Ovis aries: one gene and its partner. Each later gene encodes a partner of the first gene's protein in a complex. Links are inferred from orthologs where the notes say so. Each region holds a gene or a part of one and is shown in the gene's direction. Other genes may lie near its edges.

Region 1 (10,329 bases):
TGTTAAGTACATTCACTCTGTTGCAGCCAGTCTCCAGAATTCTTTGTGTCATGCAAAGCAGACTCTGTACCCAGTAAGCAACTGCTCTCCACTTGCCCTCCCCCAGCCCCTGACAATCACCCCTCTACTTTATGTCTTTATGAATTTGACTCTCTCTGGGAACCTCGTATAAATGGGATTTAACAGTATTTGTCCTTTTGTGACTGGCTTATTTCACTTAGCATAACAGCCCTAAGGCTTGTCTGTATTATAGCCTACATCAGAATTTCCTTCCTTTTTAAGGCTAAATAATATTCCAGTATTTGTAATACCATATTTTGTTTATCCATTCATCCTAAACATTCTTTTCTCGTCTTGCTGTGCAGCTGTGGGATCTCTATTCCCTGACCAGGGATTGAACCTGGGCCCCAACAGTGAAAGCCCAGAATTCTAACCATTAGGCTACTGGGGAACTCCCATCCGAAACATTCTTGGTTGGTAAACAAAGTAAAATTGAAAGCTGCTGGAACAGACATTGTTGGTAGGCCTGCTCTCTAGCATAATGATCACTCAGTAAATACGTCTGTTGATAGTTTGCTCAGACAAAGAAGTTTTATGCCCTTTGGAGCTGGACTTCTGGTTTTTAATGACTAGAATTTGGAGTGAAATTGAGTGTGAATTTCCTTCTGTGGTTAGATTCTACGTGTCAGATGACCCAAGTTCACGTAAGCTCTGAGAAAGAAATGTAACTCATATGGGGCTTTTGTAATCTGTTCCCACTTTACCAAATAGGGCAGTTGGGCCTTGAGTGGGACAGCCCATCTCCTTGGTTTCCAGGGCTACAATTCAGGTCCCAGCTCCCATCAGGTCCTTGTCCGTATCTCTAACTGCCTCTTCTCAGTGGGTCTGTGAATTTTCCTCTGGTGGTAGCACAGGGTATGGCAGGGATGGAATCCTTAAGCTCTCCCATGAGCCTGCCTATAGAGCACCATTTTAATGAAGTCATCAACAGTGCAAACTCTAGTCCCACACATGCGTTAGAGCCCATGAGCCAGTCCCCGACAAGGTTTCCCTGGTGCTCATTAGTCCTGGAGCCCTCCTGTGCTAGGTGAAGTGGAATGCCAGAGCCTGGAGATGACAGAATGAGGGTCTGCTTCCTCCTGCATTCTGGTGCACGGAGACTCGGCTTCCAGCACTGGCGTGGCAAGAAGTGGTTGAGCAGAGCACATTTGGCAAGAGACTGTGTTGATTTGGGTAAAAGCCAAGCTGCTATAAGAAAGACCAAAAAAATAAAGGCTAAAGCAAAGTGGAATTTTCTTTCTCACATAAAGCAGAGGTAGGCAGGAGCCCAGGCCAGGTAAGTGGCCTTTTGCCATGATTCTAGCTATGGACTTGGGTTCCTTCTGTCTTATTGCTCTGACATCCCATTGGGTTTAATCTCACCTGTCTCACCCAAGAAGTCTCACCTGTACCTCATTTCTGCTCTAACCCCCTGGAGAGGGAACAGATGGTTTCGTGGACACACCTAAATGCAAGAGGCCAGCCAAGTGGCTGTGTTCCCTGCGCAGACCCAGGACTGAGTGTGGAGGTGGGTAACAGAAGGAAAGGATAGTTACTGGGGGAAGTTAGCCATTACTGTGACAGCCCCTGTTTAGGATGTTATGGACTGGGTGTTCCCTTACATTTTATAAAATCAGAAGACTTCATGTAAGCCAGAGGAATTTCTTCTTAATAAGAAGCCAGAAATTGACTGAGACAGATAGAAGGTGCACAGAAACCTCAGATCCTGATTGTACATGTCACGGCATTTCTTTTCATTTGAGGGTTCAATTAGATGTTTTTCTTTCTGCTCAGGGAAATATAAGTGCTCCAACTGGGTCCCATATTCCAGAACCTTGTTCCTTCCGAATTCCTGTTGAGATCCTTCATCTTAGTAGCAGTGACTTTGTACTGAAATTAAAACCTGACTTCTCCAAGCAGTTCAGGAGAGAGCATCAGGAGAGCTTGTTAGTCATTATAGGTAGAAGAGATCATGGGAGATGGGCAGGTGGTTCCTATCTCTGCAAACCTGGATGGTCTCTGCTATCACAGGCGCACAGTCTTCATTCTCAAAAATTTTGTTCCTAAGCAACCCAGTGGATTCATTTTCAGAGGCAAACAGTAAACTGGGTGTAACTTCAGAGTATCTGTTGTCATTTAAAAAGTAATAGGCATGAATGTACATACCTTCTTCATGATCGACAGGGCTTACTGAGAAAGGCCAGGGTTATCAGTAGCTGAGGCTTCAGATCTTAGCCGGGAGGGTGAAAATAGTAGGAGGGAGGAGGCAAAGACTTTTGTGATTTTCATGCAAGAACAGGTTCATACTATGGCTTATGCCCTCCAGGTGAACAGATTTCAGACTACAGTGACTTCCATTTCCTCTGTTGCAATTATGATTTCAGAGGCATGTCTGGGGTCCTGGGGTCCTGGTACAGACTGCAGTACCCTATTGGAGGTGGCCAGGGACCCAGGCTGCCTCGATGCTGGTGGTCTCCTCTCCTGCTTCAGTGGATGGGAGTGGTACTGGGGATTGCTGGAGTGGGAGGGCTGAGTAAGCGTAGTTATAGCCCCTCATGGGCAGAATTTTAGGTTCTGTAAGCCCATTCCATGCTGTCGTAGTTATGATGTATTCCATTTCTTTTGGAAGGCTTCAGGAAGATGTGTGTGTGTGTGTGTTGGTGGTTGTGGAGGGACCTGTATGTGGGAGTTGCTGGTGAGTTCCTGCTGATGTGGCTTCAGTGATTCTCAGCTCAGACTGGTGAGGATAATGTATATAGTTATATTACGGCATAATTCTTTATATGTGTGGAATTGTACCAAGCGTTACAAGATATTTAGGATCCATGAATTCAATGAACTGAGTGCCAGCAGTCCATCTGTGACAATTAGCAGTCGTGACAGTCGGCAGGGTCCCCACGTTTCTGCACATCTGTGAACCAAACACGAGTAGCTCCTGTCTGTCTTCTCACTTGTTGCCTTACTTGGGGAGCCTGGTTTTTCTTCCTCTATCCTTTTTTCCTTTCCTCCTTCATTTCATTTAATGATCAAAGGTTATAATGGAAGTTCTGAGTGGTGAACAAAATGTTAAATGGTGAAGTTTATCTAGAGTAGTGGCTTTTAAACTTCAAAAAATGTACATCCCACAGTAAGAAGTACATTTTTTATCACATGTACAAAACATACTATAATTTCACAAAACACCTCCTCTTAGAATGGTGCAGTCTGGTATTTTTTGTTCTATTTTTCCTTCTATACAAGTGGTTATGAGTCAGTAAATTAAAAGATCTCTTGCGTCAAATCTCAGTGAATAATTATAGTCATACACAGTTTTATGTACACATATACACGTAGGCAGAAATTCTCAGAGGTGTCTGCTGGCCAGAAAGGGAGCAGAGTCCTTCTTTATTTTATTTTATTTTATTTTATTTTATTTTATTTTATTTTTTAAATAATTGCTTGCCCTAATCTAGTGAAAGTGAAGTCGTTCAGTCATGTCCGACTCTTTGCGACCCCATGGACTGTGGCCTACCAGACTCCTCCATCCACAGGATTTTCCAGGCAACAGTACTGGAGTGGGTTGCCATTTCCTTCTCCAGGAGAGTCCTTCTTTAATAACAAATTATCCTCTTTGGAATGGGGAGAACAGACGATTTTTGAAGAATGTTTAGAAACCTTGCTATCGGGACTTCCCCTGGTGGTCCAGTGGCTAGGACCATGTGTTCCCTGTGCAGGGAGCCTGGGTTTGATTCCTGGTCAGGGAACTGGGTCCCACATGCCACAGCTAAATGTCCTGCATGGTGCCACTAAAACCTGGCATAGCCAAGTAATTGTTTTCTTTTTAAGGGGCTTCTCTGGGGGTCCAGTGGTTAAGAACCCACTTTGCAATGCAGGGGATTTGGGTTGGATCCCTGATCCCACATGCCACAGGGCAGCTGAGCCCATGCTCCGCAGCTACGGAGCCTGCACACCACAACTAAAGAGTTGGTGTGCTGCTACCAGAGATACCGAGTGCCACAACTGAGACCTGACACAGCCAGATCAACAGATAAATCTCAGCCAATATTAAAAACAAAACACCGTGTTATTAATGGCTTATGCCTTGGTGACTTTTGGTTACCAGCTTCCTCCTGGGTCATCACTGAAAGTGTTAGTTGCTCAGTTGTGTCCAGTTCTTTGTGACTGCATGGACTACAGCCCACCAGGCTCTTCTGTCCATGGAATCCTCTAGGCAAGAATTCTGGAGTGGGTTGCCATTTCCTTTTCCAGGGGATCTTCCTGACCTAGAACTCAAAACCAGATCTCCCTCATTGCAGGCAGATTTTTCACTGTCTGAGCCACCAGGAAAGCATTCATTGGGTTTGTGTAATTGAGTGCCATGGCATGGCAGCGTTATCATGACTGTTTAGTCCTAAGTTAAGTTTAGTTTTAGTAAGTCACATTTGAAGAGCTCTTTACTGCCAATGAAATACTGGACTTCGGTTCAGATTAATTCACTTAAACTCAGTGGTTGCTGGCAGAGGGTTAGCCAGTTTTGCAGAGGAGGAAATGGGAATGAGGCTGGCAGAATGACTCGGCTCAGCTGTACTGTAATCAGCGGCTGAGCTGAAACGCAGCCAGGTCCTCTGACTCCCAGTCCACTCCTGCTCACTGCGAGTGATCCAGCAAGAGCTTGCCTGGAAGTGGTCTCCTCGGAGGCTGTGAATCTACAGTCCCTCTTGGTGGCTTGCTCCACTTGGCCCAGGTGGGAGGTCTTCCCCCTAGTGTAGGAAGCCCCTGCGGTGGTCCCAGGGGTTAGGGTTAGAAGGGTTAGAGCCCTTTCGGTATTTTCCCTCCCAACAGAAGCCGGGGACATCCTGACCTGCAGCTGTGGTGCCAGCCTTGGAAGCAGCATCTGGCGGAGGGGCGGTCTCATTCCAAACACATCCGTGTCACTGAAGCCAAGAGCAGGGAGGAAGCCCCAAGCTATAGAACTTTGAACGGGGCGATGGAGAAGCCCCTGCCCCTGCCCCCCTCCGTGGAGGAGTCCTATATCACCAGCGAGCACTGCTACCAGAAGCCCCGCACCTACTATCCAGCTGTGGAACAGAAGCTAGTGGTGGAGACCCGGCGCTCTGCCCTCGACGATGCTGTCAACCCCCGCCACGAGAACGGTGATGATTCCCTGTCTCCGCGCTTGGGCTGGCCTCTAGACCAAGACAGGAGCAGAGGGGACAGTGACCTCAAACCCAGTTCCCCAAAGGTACTGGCTCGCTTGTGCTTGTTCTTGTTTGATATCTTGTATCGTCTCCTCCCAGGGCTAAATGTTCAGTAGAAGATGTTTATGATAGAGTTGTGTTTATTTTAAAACTGCATATAAATCTGTTTATCATATTCTTTTTTTGTCTTTTAAAATGAGTACAAAGTCAAAAGAGCCCACTTAAACCCCAAATATCATTGGTTCTAGGAACTGACGGCAAAATGGCAGAGTCAGTGGTGGTGGGGGTGGAGAGGTCGGAGGCAGCCAGAAGAAAAGGGTAATTGACCTGAACTTGACAAATGAAAACAAGTTAGGAAAATGAGGGTTTTTTTTCTTCAGTGCAGTTTATCATTACATCTGGGTGCTAATCCTTAGCAAGAGCAGAGAACGAGTCAAGTGTTTTGTTAGGCGTAAGTTTTTCAGTACAATTCTATGACAACTTTACTTTTAACTGTGCAGCCCTGGCGTAAGAACAATCCATTTTGTCCAAATGTTTGCTGGTTTCATCAGTTTTCCCAAGAGATACTCCCAGGTTCTTGTTACTCACGTCGTTCTCTTCTGGAGCCCTGTGTGTTCTCTTGCCAGTGTTCCCTAGTCTCATTCTTCCCATCCTCAGTTGTCAGTGAGGGTTTGGGTGATGAAAGCTTCCCCACCCTCGTCATACTTAACTGTCACAGACTCCGCTGTGTGGGCTGATATCACCACCCTAAGTCCATCGCTGCCTCTCGCCGAGGGGGAGTAGCCTAGATTAGAAGCCCCTCAGCATTCAGCCTGTGTCCTTGCCAGGGTCTAAGCAGGGCTGGGTAAGGCTGGTGAGGACTGTCTTTGGAGGCAGACCCAGTTTCAGGTCTGGGCGCTGCCACTTGCTGTGTGACTCTGAGCAGGTCCCTTCACCTCCTCAGAGGTGTCTCCTTAGCCCCCTGCCAAGTGAAGCTGGTGATGGTGACCTCTCAGTTTACTGTGCAGCACACCTGTGAAAAGCTCTCAGCACGTGGCTCTGCACACAGTCACTCCTCCATAGATGTTAACTGGAACCTATTTCATTTCCAATCAATGAATGAAGGGTTGCAGTCACAAACCCCAGAAAAAGTTTGTGGTCTTGCAAATTATGCAAATTGCCTAGAGGCACCTGGAACATGATGAAAAAAATCAAGAAGTCCTGGGCCTAAACCAGGCAGGTAGAGTTAAAAATCTCTTTCATGACTGGCAGGTTGACCACAAGCCAGCACTGTGTTTTATTCACATTATCCTATTTGATCCTCATGAACTTTTAAAGTAGGTTTTACTACTTCTTCTTTCCCATGAGGGAATAGAGGCCCAGAGAAGTGAAGTAACTCATCCAGGTGCATGCGTTCAGCAAGACATGGAACTAGGACTTAAAATTTGTTTGTCTACATATGAGCACCCACATACTAACACTCATCCACACTTACCCTGCTCTACTCTGATCCCAGGTTTCAGGAAGCGGTTCTTTGAGGCCTGCTTCAGCCCTTAGGCATTGGCATTCATTGGGAAGCAGTTGGGGAGCCTCCAAGCCAGAGGTCTGCACAGCCCTGAGGCAGTTGTTCTTGGTACGGCAGGCCCGCTTCTGCCTGGTGCCTGAGAGAGGAGGAGGGGGGCGGGGAGGTAGCGATTTGGACTACTCGAACTGCAGCTGGGTTCTCAAATGGGTGCAAACACTCGCTGGTTGGAAAAAGAGGCTGGGAACTGTCTCCATTCGGTAACTTTGATGCTCTTGCATCCCCAGGTGAGGGACTGTGTCTCCAAAAAGGTCTTACCTGAGGAAGCCCCTGCCCGGAAGCTGCTGGACAGAGGTGGAGAGGGGTTGCTGAGTTCCCAGCACCAGTGGCAGTTTAACCTGCTGACACACGTGGAATCCCTTCAGGATGAAGTCACGCACAGGATGGACTCCATTGAGAAGGAGCTGGATGGTAGGGCTCCCTCCTGGTCTCCCTGTCCTTGGCAGGCTCTGTGGGCCAATAGGAAGAGCTGCTTTCTGAACCCTTTGATTTGGGTTTCCAGGGATAGCTATGTTATTGCCTCTTCTATTAGTCCCCTCATCTCCATTCTCCCCTCAAGATGGCCAAGCCTGACTTTCAGTATCGACTGGGCACTTCTAAGGGCTGTGTGCTGTCAGGGGTCCAGCCTCACTCTCCCAGTCCCTTCTGCCCAGGAGAGAGCACAGTGGAACAGCTGGGCTCTGCCTGTGGGCGGTGTGTGTCCTGAGCAGGTCTTTACTGACCGAGTTCTGTGGGGAGCTGATACTTGGATGCTTTGAGCTTTTAGGATGTCTGAGGATTAATCTGAAAACCCCTTCTTTTCAGCCTTTCCTAAAATCTAAAACGAAGCCTTCTCCTCTTTATCAGCAGATATTTTAGAACTTGAGTCACTTATGTTCCCCCCAGATATATCTCCCTGATGTTAAGTTATCAGATGGGCTTGGAGGACTGAAATGTTGATCCCCAGGGTGTTGTCAGTTTGGTTTTTGAAGGCAGACTTCCTCTTTCTTGTTCTCTTATTTCCTAATTATTATTATTATTTCATCTTAGAAAGAAGGCTGATTAAGAAATAAATGTTTCGTTTGCGGATTCTGAGGATAGCTAGGCTATTATTACTATAATTGGGGATGAAATAACTCATAAGAAAAATGCCATGTGTTATGTAAGCAAAGGTCAGAGGGTGTGGGTGAGGTCAGGCTAGAGAAGGACAGCTATCAAGAGGGGAAGCGAGAACAGGAAGGCTTCCTGGAGCTCCAGGGACTGAAGTGGAGCCTTGGAGAGAGCTGTGTTTCTTGCTACAGGAGGGGTGACTGAGGCAGGATGCTAAGAGGTGGCTGACTGGGAAAGGGATGGCCCTGTTGGAGGACAAAGACTAATGTGCCCACACGCTTCCTGGCCTGCCCCAGAGGCAAACCTGCTGAACTGGGGACGGCAGGCCAGTCCAGGGTCCATTGTGAGGGTGTTGCTGAAAGCTAGAGTGTTTCTCTCTCTCTTTACTCCTAAAAGGTTTCCTTGAGCTCCTTAGAACTATAACAGATACCAGGTCTATGGAAAACCTTGCTGGTAGAAAGCTGAAAGAGTGTCCAATGATGGACTGAAAATTGTGGAATTGACTCTGGGTCCCCAAGAAGAAGCTCAGGCACCGTAGAAACAGGACAAAGGTTCTGTTGTTGCCAAAGGAAGCGGCCCCAGGGGAGAGGCCAGAGCCTACCTACTTAATCACTGATGTACCCCCTCCCTCCCGGCTTGGGCTGCTCCAGCCCTGAGCTCACTGAGAGGACAGTGTGGCCAGGCCAGGATGAGAAGCCTGAGCTCCCTTCTCTGGGCTTTCAGAGGGCTCTTTATGTGTCTTACTCATTTGGGGCCACATACTCCGTCTTGTATTCTTCAATTCCAGGCCCTGAGAGGTACCGGAAGCAAGAAAATCAATTTTAAGTTTAAAGATTTTACTCACGTAAACCGATTTTGCGTTGTATTTAAGATTCTTCAAAATCCCATTTTATTTCTACTATCTTCATTTCATCTAAATACCTCAAGATGAACTGAGCTTTTATAGGAATTTGTATATAATATTTCTTTTTAAAAATCTAATAAGCCGTTATATTGACTGATTACACTTTAACAAATGTCATTGTTTGAGTATTTAACCATTATTTAATAACTTATGTAGTGTGTGAACAGTCTTATAAAACTAAAAGATAAAGATATTTAATGAGCATGAAAACAATATTTTAGCATTAGATTTTTTTTTTTTAATGTTATCTTATCTAGACAGTCTCTATCTAGATGGTATGGGGGAATATGTTTGAAATGAAACTTTATTCTTATAACCTTCTGCCTTGGTTGCAGTCATATACCATTGAGCTTCCTTAAAAGAAAAACTTGGGGTTATGGACCAGCACCTGGTGTGGAGAGAAGGCCAGCAGGCTAGATGCTGGGGTCCAGAGGAGGTGCTGTTGGCTCCCACAGTTATGTGTCTGGTCTTCATTTCTGCATATCTAGAGAGAAGACTTCCCCCTTAGCAGCTCCAAACACTCCTCCTAACCAAGTTCATAGACTATGAGTGGCCTAGACCATGGGTCCCCAACCTCTGGGCCTCAGACTGGTGGTACCTCCTGTCAGATCAGGGCAGCATTAGATTTGAAATAGTGTACAATAAGTGTAATGCGCTTAAATCATCCTGAAATCTGCCCCCCTCACCACCCCTGTCCATGGAAAAATTGTATTCCACCAAGCTGGTCCCTGGTGCCAAAAGTTTGGGGACCTCTGGGCTAGACTCTTCTAGTCTGCACACTGATTGTTTCTTTCTCCCTGTGTGTGCCTACTGGGTCACCAAGGTGTCGGGGGACACCTTGGGTGAGCCTGAACCAGATCTGAGGTAGTTCTAGTGGCTTTAGCAGGGGCCTCTCAGCAATTGTGAGCTTCCCAGGTGTCTTAGTGGTAAAGAACCTGCTTGCCAGTGTAGGAAGACATAAAAGACATGGATTTTATCCCTGGGTTGGAAAGATTCCCCTGGAGGAGGGTACAGCAACCCACTCCAGTATTCTTGCCTGGAAAATTCCCTGGACAGAGGAGCCTGGTGGACTGCAGTCCATGGGGTCACATAGAGTCAGACACAACAGCAGCTGAGTGCACACACACAGGCTCAGCACTTGCGATGGCTTCTCTTGTTGCGGAGCAGGGGCTCTAGGGTGCTGGGGTTTTAGTAGCTGCAGCGTGTGGGCGCTGTTGTGGCTCCAAGCTCTAGAGCACAGCCAGTAGTTGTGGCACGCAGCCTTAGCTGCCCTGTGGCATGTAGGATTTTCCTGAACCAGGGATGGAACTGGGATCCCCTGCACTGCACGGTAAATTCTCAATCACTGCACCACCAGGGCAGCCCCATCCTATTATTTTAAATTACAAACCAGGATAAGTGCTCCAAAGGAGAGCAAGTGATAGCATAGCACCTGTGACTCAAGGACCGGACTCAGGTTATAGAGGGGGTGGGGTTCCCTGAGAAATAGCTTGCAGGGGACAAAGGGTTTAGAAATGTGGGAAGGAAGATGAAGGACTGGTCTGAAGAGGGCAGAGGAG
Region 2 (10,928 bases), on another chromosome or scaffold:
CTTTTTTTTTTTTTTGTATTGCTCTTAAGAGTCCTTTCTCAGCATATTATTCTGCTCTTGCCTCTGTCTTCCTTGGGGCACCTCAGTTCTGGATGCTACTCCTGGGATCTCTACTGCTGTTACGTGAATGATAAGACGTAAGTGACCATTACAGTAAGGGCTCTTTGTAAAAAATTTTAAAAAATGTTTTTAAAAATTAAAAAAGTACATTGTATACATTTTATAGTCTGGCTATCAATTTGATATTTTGCTGTCAAGTATGTTTCTCAATCTGTATTTATCCATCCCATCAATAAATGTTAAACACTCATCTGATGATCATTTATGTGTGCTGAGTCTTCAAGTTAGTCTTTACCTGTCATTTCATTGATACAATAATAGTTGTCTTAGTTTTGGTAGTATAGTATGTACTTTCTTACTGCACAGGATCCTGTGGGAATTGAGTTCAGTGGGAATACCTAAGATTTGATCATCACAGGGAAGCTAACAGTGTAAGTATGATGTGGCTGAGGGGAGAAAGCCCTCATTCTACACTGTCATGTGGATACCTGGAAGGATGCCTGGCACACAGAGAAACAGACAGCTCTAACAGAAGATAGCAACATGTACTGCTTATTTAGTGAGCACTCTCAGTGATTCATACTTGTATATTTGGTTCTTTGAAAAAATCTGAAATGTTGGTATAGACAGCAGTGCTTTTAATAAGAAAAAAAATTAATAGCCTCTGATAGTGAATACTCACCCTTTTCCTGGGAAATAATAAAGTCACACACACAAGGTAATTCTTGTAAATTATACATTTAAATGGAAAGAATTTTTAGGCTATAATGCTTAAAATTATTTTTTTTAAAAAGTTAGAAGTAGCTCTAGTTTAAAAGCTCTAAAAGGAAAGATAAATTTAACAGTGTTAAACACTTCTTTTAAAAAAAAATCGAGTTCTGTGCATTTCTTCTTCCATTTTCTGAAATACTACAAGAACATTTTTGTTGGTGGTGCCCCTCCTAAAACTTTAGTGATAAAGTTACTGATATTTTAGGAATATTGGTCTGACTTAAATGGAAGAACAGAGAAGTAGTAAATGAACAGTGTGAGAATGGATATAAATTTATTATAAAGTCATACATTTAGTGATTTGCTTTTGTTAGATATCAGCTGTTTCATCCTTGGGAATAGATGAGGTATAAATCAATATAAAGTTCCAAACAGCTGGATCCCTAGTTACAGAGGTTTGTTAAACTAACTGGTATAGGGTTAGGGTTCAGTGCCTAAATCATCCTGGTCTCTGATGCTTTTGAAAACCAGTAAGATTGGCTTGATCTCTATCATTCAACATTCTGTAGAAAGTCTGAAGCCCTCTCTATGACTTCTGTGGATTCCCTTAGAGGCTTGTATTTATTGTAATCTCTAGCTCTGGGGCTACTTCTGTTGAATTCATTCAGTTTGTGGATTGTCACTTGTCTTGTGCTACCTTTTTTGCACTGTGGAATCTTGACCCTTTTCTTGATTCACATAACACTCAAAACCAAAGAACCCCAGTGATGAAAACAAGTTAAAACTGAAAGCTAGATTACATCTTTTCTGGAAAGTAGTTTTAGGCACTCCCTTGCTTTTCATTTATTCCTTAGTTAGAATATAGTATTTACTGAGTACTATATACCATTTACTGATGGCAGTAAACAAAGCAAGCATCTTGCCCTCATACAACTTACATTCTAGTTGAAGAGACAAAACATGCTAGATGATAAGTACTTTGGAGAATGTAAAGCAGGGAAGGAGAGGGATTTCATATGTGTGGGTAAGATTGTTGAAATTGGAAATAAGATGGCTAGGGAGGAAGGCCTTATGAAATTACAGTTCATCAAAGACCTGAAGAGGTGAGAGCAAGCCACAGGAATATTTGTAAGATGATTCTATGTTGCAAAGTTTGTGAGGTGAGAAGATAGTGGCATGTTTGAGAAAGAGCAGAGGCCAGTGGGGCTAGTTACAGAATTGACTGAGGAAGATGGTAAGTAGTAGGATAATGTGGTTATAGAAGCAGCAGAAGACTAGATAAAGTAGGGCCTTGTAAGCCATTATAAAGACAGTGAAATGGAGCGCTATTGACAAGTGTTGAGAGGTGACATGATCTAGCTTGGGTTTTAAAGTATTCATTTGATGGGGAATTCCCTGGTGGTGCAACGGTTAGGACTTTCACTGCCAAGGGTCCAGGTTCAGTCTCAGGTCAGGGAACTAAGATTGTGAGCTGCTGGAAGCTGTGAGGCGTGGATCCCCACCCCACCCCCAAAATATTCATTTGGCTGCTGTGTTGAAAGTGGACTACAGGAAGTCAAAGGTAAGGACACTCACAGTAATTAAGGTACAGGATGAAAGTGGCTTGGACCAGGTTGGAAGTGCTGAAGGTAACAAGAAGTACATATCTTGAAATTGGAGCCGGTAGGATCTGCTGTATGGAGAAGGACATGGCAACCCACTCCACTGTTCTTGCCTGGAGAATCCCAGGGATGGGGGAGCCTGGTGGGCTGCTGTCTATGGGGTTGCATAGAGTCGAACATGACTGAAGTGACTTACCAGGTTTGAAGAGAAATCAAGGATGACTTCCAGTGTTTGGCCTGATAAGCTGGAGGAAAATAGATGAGAGTGACTATAAAAAGTACAGGATTTTAGCACTCATTTATCCTCCTCCCCCTCCAACGCTCACTTCCTCTAGGATTAGCCCCCAAAACTCCAAATTAAAAATACCCTTCAATTCATCTTTCCTAACCTCTATGAACAGCCTCAGGTCTACTTGAACCTGTTCAGTAGCTAACAAAGTTCTCCTCGGATTAAAAACAGCCATCTACTTTGATAAAAAGCAGAAAGAATTTGCCAATATCTTGATCATTTAATAATCTCTATCCCTCCTCAACTTAGAAGTGGTTCTAAATAGCATATTTTGTCTTCTCAAGTTTAGTAGGATTTCACAGCATTCCCCGGCTCCCACAACTAAGGCCTTCTCTAGACTCCCTAATTAAAGCCTTTGTTGCATCTCTACCTAGTCCCTAATGCCTCTTTACATTGTTCTCTATAGTAGTTTTAATTTTCCTTTTTGATATCACTGCATTTGGTTGAAGATTCCCATGTTTTCTGTAATGTGACTGCCTCTACTAGTTTTAAATTATAGGATGTTTATAACAAATCTCTGTACTTCTGAGGGTTGGAGTGTTTGCTTATGTATGTAACACAGTCCTGGTGAGATGAAATGCTTTTAACTAAAAATTCCTTAAAGGATTATAAGATTGGGATTTATCTGCCATTCTATATACCTGCGTTATTTAGCATGGAATTGTAGAGAAGCAAGGCCGCAACTAGAACTCATTTACTCAATTTTCTTAGAACTCAATTTTCTCAGTCCAAAAAGTGAAAAAAAGTGAAAGTGAACTCCCTTAGTCGTGTCAGACTCTGAGACCCCGTGGACTATAGCCTACCAGGCTCCTCTGTCCATGGAATTTTCCAGGCAAGAATACTGGGATCTTCCCGACCTAGGGATCGAGTCTGGGCCTCCCGCATTGCTGGCAGACACTTTTACCATCTGAGCCATCTGGGAAGCCCTCTCAGTCCAATGCACTTCACGAGAGAAGAAAGGGGTAAAGAATGAGTTAGTCACTCAGTTGTGTGCCACTCTTTGCTCCCCCTCTCAGCCAGGCTCCTCTTGTCCATGGGATTCTCCAGGCAAGAATACTTCAGTGGCTTGGCTTTCCTTTCTCCAGAGGATCTTCCGGACCCAGGGATGGAATCCGGGTATCCTACACTTAATGTGGATTCTCTACCGTCTGAGCCACTGGGGAAACTCAGAATAAAGGCTGGGTTCAAATTCACCTCGCCCTATTTACTAGATATGGGCCCGTTCTATTCGTAGTTTCTAACTTCTTAGGGTTCTGAAAATTAAAAGTTTATATGTGTAATTTCCTAGGCTCAGTAAATACTTGAAAAAAATGTTTCCACAAATGAAGTGTTCACGAAAAAAAACTAAAGCCTTTTCCTGTATAGACAATGAGAGTCAAATGTACAGTGATTCTTTGGCCTCTACATGTCGATTTTGTTGTACCGACTATGTAGGGGTGGTGAAATAGCTGCAGCCTAAGATCACACACAGAGCGCCCCAAATCCGCCTGGACATCAGCTACGGTCGGAAATGTAAAGAGCTGTCCCCGCCGACCCACAACCCACGCTCCCTCCGCCTCACTCTCTCCAGAGCTGAGTTGCTGACAGACACCTCATCTAGCCACCCAGCCTCGCCGTTTCCCAGCGCCCCGCCCCCTGAACTCTATAGATAGCCAATGGTGACACAGAGTCGTAGGCTCAGTATCCAATCAGTGGCTGGGAGCCCGGAAAGGCATGGTTAGAAGTGGCTGGCGCTGCCAGAAAGCGAGTGGCGCGGCTCAGCGGCAGAGGTAAGATGGCGGCTGTGCTTGCTCCTCGGTTTTGGAGTTAGGCTGCTGCTTCGCCCCTTCTGTTTGTTCCGAGCTGCTACTCTGTCTCAGTCAGCGTCAGGGGCGCTTTACTCCTCTTGGCTTCCAGGACCCAGATTCGCCTGTGCTTGGAGTCTTAGGACAAAATGGCGCTTGCACTGGCCTCCGAGGATGGGCAGGGCCCAGCGTTCAGCTTTGAGGCGGGCCGGGACAAAGGCGGCATGCGAGGAGGCGGAGGCCAGGGGTGGGGCGGGTGGGTCTGCGGCGTTGCGCCGCGGCGTGCGGCAGGAGCTGGCGCTTCCGCCTCTTGCTGCTTCTCCCTCGTGTGGCGACCGTGCGAGCCCTTGAGATACTTTCAACGTGGCTGTGGTCGGAGTTGGGGGAGGGCTTGGACAGAGAAGTTGAGATGAGGCAAATTCAGTAATATCTTGGTAGACTTGGGCGGAAGGCAGTTAAGGAGCGTGACTTCGGCCTGGCGTTTTAGAAGCCGCGCGCAGTCTGCCCGGGTATTGTGGAGCTGGGCTTTTCGGGAAGGTTAAAGGCTTTTTGATCTTTGTGCAGCCCTGCAGGTTTTGGTATGAACAGGATTCGGATTCACGTCTTGCCGACCAATCGGGGGAGGATCACCCCAGTGCCCAGATCTCAGGAGCCCCTGTCTTGTTCGTTTACTCATCGTCCATGTTCGCAACCTCGTCTGGAGGGGCAGGAATTTTGCATTAAGCATATCCTTGAAGACAAGAATGCGCCTTTCAAGCAGTGTAGTTATATATCGACGAAGAACGGAAAAAGATGTCCCAGTGCTGCCCCAAAGCCTGAGAAGAAAGATGGGTATGTGTGTGTATATATATATATATAGAGAGAGAGAGACAGACAGACAGACAGACAGATAGATAGATACTGTCGTATGTACTTTTAGTTTTTAAGTGAGAGGAAGATGTGCCAGGATGTGGCCTTGGAAAAAGTCGCCAAGTTTTTTAGGCCACGTGTTTGTAAAATTGAAGTTACGGGTATATCCTTGGAAAATTTTTTAAAATGGTGAAAACGAAGAGACATCTCCTAGTTGGGCCGTTTTATTATCTCTTTGGCAATTTTACCTTGTGAAGGTTTCTCAGTCGTGTCCCACTCTGCGACCCCGTGGACCATACAGTCCATGGGATTTTCCAGGCCAGGATACTAGAGTGGGTAAGCCTTTCCCTTCTCGAAGGGATCTTCCCAACCCAGGGATCGAACCCAGGTCTGCGGCATTGCAGGCAGATTCTTTACCAGCTGAGCCACCAGGGAAGCCCTGTAAAATAAATTCTTAAGCCTAGGTTCCATGGCTCTTTTGGCTGTCCTTGAATCTTAGGTAATGCAAAATTGTATACATGTGTATTTTTTTTAGGAAAAGATTTCATCATTTAAACTATCCATGCACAAATAATTTGGCTAGATAATTCTGCATTGTGTCCCACATCTTACTACCTACAATGGATTGATTTTGAAGTGTTATAAAATGTAAAATTGCCTCCCAGAACCAATTTTGAGAGATGAAAGTGGATCAGTGTGACTTGTTGCAAAATGATACCAGCATTTTTATAGTTGGAATATTTCCTTAGATGGATAGATCACTGGAATATGTTAACCTGCATTTCCCTTCAGTAATACCAAATGAGTTGACCTTGCCCGTTAAATTACTCTGCCTCACTAGCATTTTTAGTCTATAAATGAAGATAATAGTCATTTTGATTGCCTGAAAATGATCTAAAGATCACTGTCTGTGGAAATCACTGAACTCTTGTAAGAGGGAGCATGAGTATGAAACGTTAATATTTTGTCTCCTTAGGGTATCCTTCTGTGCTGAACATGCTCGGAGAAACGCCCTGGCACTTCATGCGCAAATGAAAAAGACTAATCCAGGGCCTGTGGGTGAAACACTCTTGTGCCAGCTGAGCTCGTACGCTAAGACAGAGCTGGGGTCTCAGACTCCAGAAAGTAGCCGCAGTGAAGCCAGCCGAATTCTGGGTGAGGATCTTCTTTCTCATAATGAAAAAACAGGAAGAAAGTTAACAAAGAACTTTGGTTTATCTCAATGCCTTGAACATATGTGGCACTTGAAAGTACAATATTATTATTAATTCATTGCCAGTTTGGGAGAATTCAGGACTGCTGCTGTTCACCAGTCTTTTTGGTTTTAATTAGTGTGTGCTTAGGTTTACTTTATCCTGAGTTTATGACTCTTTCAGTGCTGTTTTTATACTTTACTTTGTTAGGTAAGATAATTTCAGGAAACAGAATAATTTTGAGTTGACCTTTCTGTCTTTTTGAGGCTATGGTTAACTCATTTGTGTTATAAGTACTTATACTCAGGAAGTATATTTCTTTGCCAGTGCTTCTGTATTAAGCATTTTTAATTTTAAGATTTGGATTGGTGTGTTAAGTAATCTAGTTTTGTGTGGTGGAGTTACAGAGGTGGGAAGTCTTAATGGCTGCTCTCCCTTCCTTGCCTCAGATGAAGACAGCTGGAGTGATGGGGAGCAGGAACCCATTACTGTGGATCAGACATGGAGAGGTGACCCTGACAGTGAAGCTGATAGCATAGACAGTGATCAAGAAGATCCCCTAAAGTAAGTTGTAACTCCACATAGGGCTTTAACATATTTTAGAAGGTAGTATGTGGATTGTAGTACTGCATGCTGTTAATAGATTAATAAGCTAGGAGGGTTGAAGATAGCTTAGCTATTTGTGAGCAGTAATAGCTTCTGCATATTGAAGTGTCATTATTCATCACCATCTTGCCTCAGAGTAGGAGTCAATTCTTTTTTTAGAAGTCTTGTAATTTGGGAAAATTTTTGGATATCAAATTCTACATGTGAGAAAATGCAGGGGGGAAATAGATTTATTGGACATAGGAGTTGAGAGGTGGGTAGAGATCAGAGAAGAGTGATGAAAATTTGTGCTTGACTTAAACCTCAGGAATGAAAAACTGATTATATTTGAGTAACAACTTTTTTACCCCCAAAGTTCTGATTAATTTATATTTTATTTACCTTTATATGTTTAAGAAAAATTAAAAGGTGTTTAAGAGCTTCCTTTGGTTTCATGCCTAAGAAAGAGAAACTGATTTAGAAACCTAGGAGTAATTGTCCTAATTACATCTTACTAAGGTTCTGCTCTTTACCTAACCCACGATCGCTTTGGAGTTACAGAACATTGCCACCCAGAAGTCTAATGTTTCTGTGTCTCATAGTTTGGGTTTAGTTTTTGTTTTTTCCTGACTTCTATCTCTTGATACTTCCCGCTGACAGTTTAGGTGGAAGAACTCTTAAATAGTGGGAGGGGTGATGCATTTCTAGACTTGACTGTGTTTGACAAATTCTTAGAATAGCATCTTCTTCATTCCTTGGATTCTGAACTTTATAAGAAGTCATTTAGGGTTCTATTTTCTGAGTAGAATAGTTTCATCTATTTTAAGTAATCTGAATTTAGAGAGCTATTCAGGAACTACTTGTTTGGAAAGTCCATGTAAGTAGTTTGAGAAGAAATGCTTGTTTCTAGCAGGATATTTTCACAGTAGAAACTTTATACTAAGCCACAGATAGATAGATAGATATAGATATTATATATATATATATATGGATGTGGATATAGATGTAATTTATATAGTTACATTGTGCTTCTGGAAATGCCATACTTGATTGTTTAAGTGATTGTCTTTGGGTGTGGTAAACACTCAGTTTGTAAGGTCCAGAAACTTTATTTTGTCTCTGCTAATCTAGAGTGGGTCAGTCTTCACTGATCTACATTTACGCTAACCTGACTTACATACAGGAGATCGGTGGTTTAGTCGCTAAGTCGTGTCCAACTCTTGCGACCCCATGGACTGTAGCCCGCCAAGTTCCTCTGTCCGTGGAATTCTTCAGGCACGAATACTGGATCTCCTGCATTGCAGGCAGATTGTTTACCGACTGAGCTAGGAGGGAAGCCCTTACAGGAGATTGTTACATGAAACAAAATACCAGTTAATTTTATGAGAAATAATAAGTGGTAAAAGGGCTAGATGTCAGTTTCCCCTGAAAGGAACAAAGGGCAAAAACAATTTAACACAATATAATAAGTGATTCCCTTTTTTGAAATTGGTCTAATAATAAACCTAGACTTATAGTTGTGCGTATCAGAGCAAGAAGAGTTAGTACATGATTTTTAAAATTAAAACTAGCTATGAATATTTGTGGCTCTATCTTTAAATAAATGACGCATTTGTCACATGATAGGCATTTACCTCGGAGAAGGCAATGGCACCCCGCTCCAGTACTCTTGCCTGGAAAATCCCATGGACGGAGGAGCCTGGTAGGCTGCAGTCCATGGAGTCGCTAAGAGTCAGACACGACTGAGTGACTTTCCTTTCCCTTTTCACCTTCATGCATTGGAGAAGGAAATGGCAACCCACTCCAGTGTTCTTGCCTGGAGAATCCCAGGGACGGGGGAGCCTGGTGGGCTTCTGTCTATAGGGTCGCACAGAGTCGGACACGACTGAAGCGACTTAGCAGCAGCAGTAGGCATTTACCTTAGTTAGGATGCTCATCTGCCTCCCCAAATGATTTGTTGTAAATTGTAGTCCCCAGTTAAATTCTCTTCTGAGGGTACAATGAAATTAATTTCATTCTAACAAATGATGTTAGGTTAAGGCCTCAATATTTTAGGGATTCAGGCATTAATGCAGATATGCCCCATTTTCTTGAATATGAATAACCTCATCACCTTGTTTAAACATTAGATAGTTTTGAAATTTTCACATTTTCTGAATCTTAGATTTTGCTGTTTTTATAATTTCAGAGTACTTTGTAGTTGTACTTTTCTTATACACAGGTATTATCTCCTGTTTATATATAAGAAAAGTTTTTGGCAGAGATTATTTGCTCTCAGTCCTAAAGTTAATAGTTTTATTCTGTGTATTTCAGTGATTTAAGAGTTAAATTTTAAAGAGCACATACTTTTTGGATTTAAAATTAGTATATAGTTCATGTATATTTTGCCTTTTAAATAATAGAAATAATTTTTACTAGATCAAAGTAGGAGAGTATCAAGTCAAGGTATATATCTAGCTGTTTTTCTTTTCTAGAATAAGGTTTTTTTTTTTTAAGTTTTGTTAATTCATAGTTGGTGGCAAAGCTTAATAAAGTTGATCTAGGTCTTTGGCAATTAAGGGTTTCTCCAGGGTACTATATTTTCAGAATATTGTCAAGAGAATGAGCTGAGGACATTGACTAGCCATTGGGATCAGTGTTTTGAGGGCTGGTATAAACTCCGAAATACAAGTGTAGCTTATTTTTATTTATTTATTTTTGGCTATGCTTTGTGGCTTATGGGATCTTAGTTGCCTGAACAGGGATTGATTCCAGGCCTTTCAGCAGTGAGAGCGTAGAACCCTAACCACTGGACCACCAATTAAAAGTGTACTTTTAAATTAGAAGTTGTAATTGTTTGTGATCTTTTGTACTTTAATTAAAATATATTGAGATACATGCTACTAAATTAACACTTTAATTTACTGGTAAGTGATTTTTTCTGTATTAAATTATTAAAGGGAACAAGACTAGATTAATAGAAGTTTTGAGTGTTCTGTATCTTTACTCCTGTTTAAACATAATGGAAATAACTGGAGAGCATAATGAAATGTTTTTCCTTATCCACATTTTGAGATCATACATTAGTATCCATTCTTGGGTAGTTTGTTTTTTAATGACAATAATAAAATTCTGTGAAAACATTTTTATTTAGTAAGGTGATTATCTTAGCACTGACTGCTTGTTGAATAGCAAACCTAAGTCTAACCTTTACTCTTTGCTCCTTTTAAGCTTGGGTCTTATTGTTGTGCCTTCTTATCCTTTTTGAATCATCTTATTCTAGACATGCTGGTGTCTATACAGCAGAAGAAGTGGCCCTGATTATGCGTGAGAAGCTTATTCGTTTGCAATCTTTGTACATTGATCAGTTTAAACGACTTCAGCATCTGCTCAAAGAGAAGAAGCGACGTTACTTACACAATCGCAAAGTGGAACATGAAGCTCTAGGCAAGTTTTATGCCAGTTCCAACAACCTGTCATGGGTTTAATCAACATGTAAATTTGGTAGTTAGACTTACTTCTTTTTTGTTACCTGGAGTGGAGAAGGATTTGCTTCTGAAACTGTTTGAAGATGCATCCTTGGTTGCTTGGCAGATAACATCTTGACTGTTTTGACTTTCCAGGTAGTAGTCTCCTGACTGGCCCAGAGGGACTTTTGGCCAAAGAACGAGAAAACTTAAAGCGTCTAAAATGTCTTCGTCGGTATCGTCAGCGCTATGGAGTGGAAGCCTTACTACACAGACAGCTGAAGGAGCGCAGAATGCTGGCCACAGATGGTGCCGCCCAACAGGTGATTTGTGTATATACCTCTAAGGTATATACACTTGCTTTTACAGAGAACACTTTGCTTTTACGGTGAACGCTATTGTACAGTTTT

The links. Proteins that work in one complex are often made in the same cells at the same time.
Region 2: PHF20 (region 1) and KANSL2 share a complex: the UniProt entries of both Homo sapiens proteins name them as parts of the NSL complex. The link is inferred for Ovis aries from reciprocal best matches to the Homo sapiens genes PHF20 and KANSL2.

Annotation. Positions count from the first base shown.
Region 1 is NC_056066.1:65,067,779-65,078,107, forward strand, and holds part of PHF20 (PHD finger protein 20), read left to right. Parts: intron 1-4,860; coding exon 4,861-5,260; intron 5,261-7,004; coding exon 7,005-7,535; 3' UTR 7,536-10,329. UniProt on the Homo sapiens protein: Methyllysine-binding protein, component of the MOF histone acetyltransferase protein complex.
Region 2 is NC_056056.1:137,499,081-137,510,008, forward strand, and holds the start of KANSL2 (KAT8 regulatory NSL complex subunit 2), read left to right. Parts: upstream 1-4,399; 5' UTR 4,400-4,430; intron 4,431-5,009; 5' UTR 5,010-5,025; coding exon 5,026-5,276; intron 5,277-6,270; coding exon 6,271-6,449; intron 6,450-6,936; coding exon 6,937-7,051; intron 7,052-10,334; coding exon 10,335-10,502; intron 10,503-10,674; coding exon of another isoform or gene 10,675-10,678; coding exon 10,679-10,841; intron 10,842-10,928. UniProt on the Homo sapiens protein: Non-catalytic component of the NSL histone acetyltransferase complex, a multiprotein complex that mediates histone H4 acetylation at 'Lys-5'- and 'Lys-8' (H4K5ac and H4K8ac) at transcription start sites and promotes transcription initiation.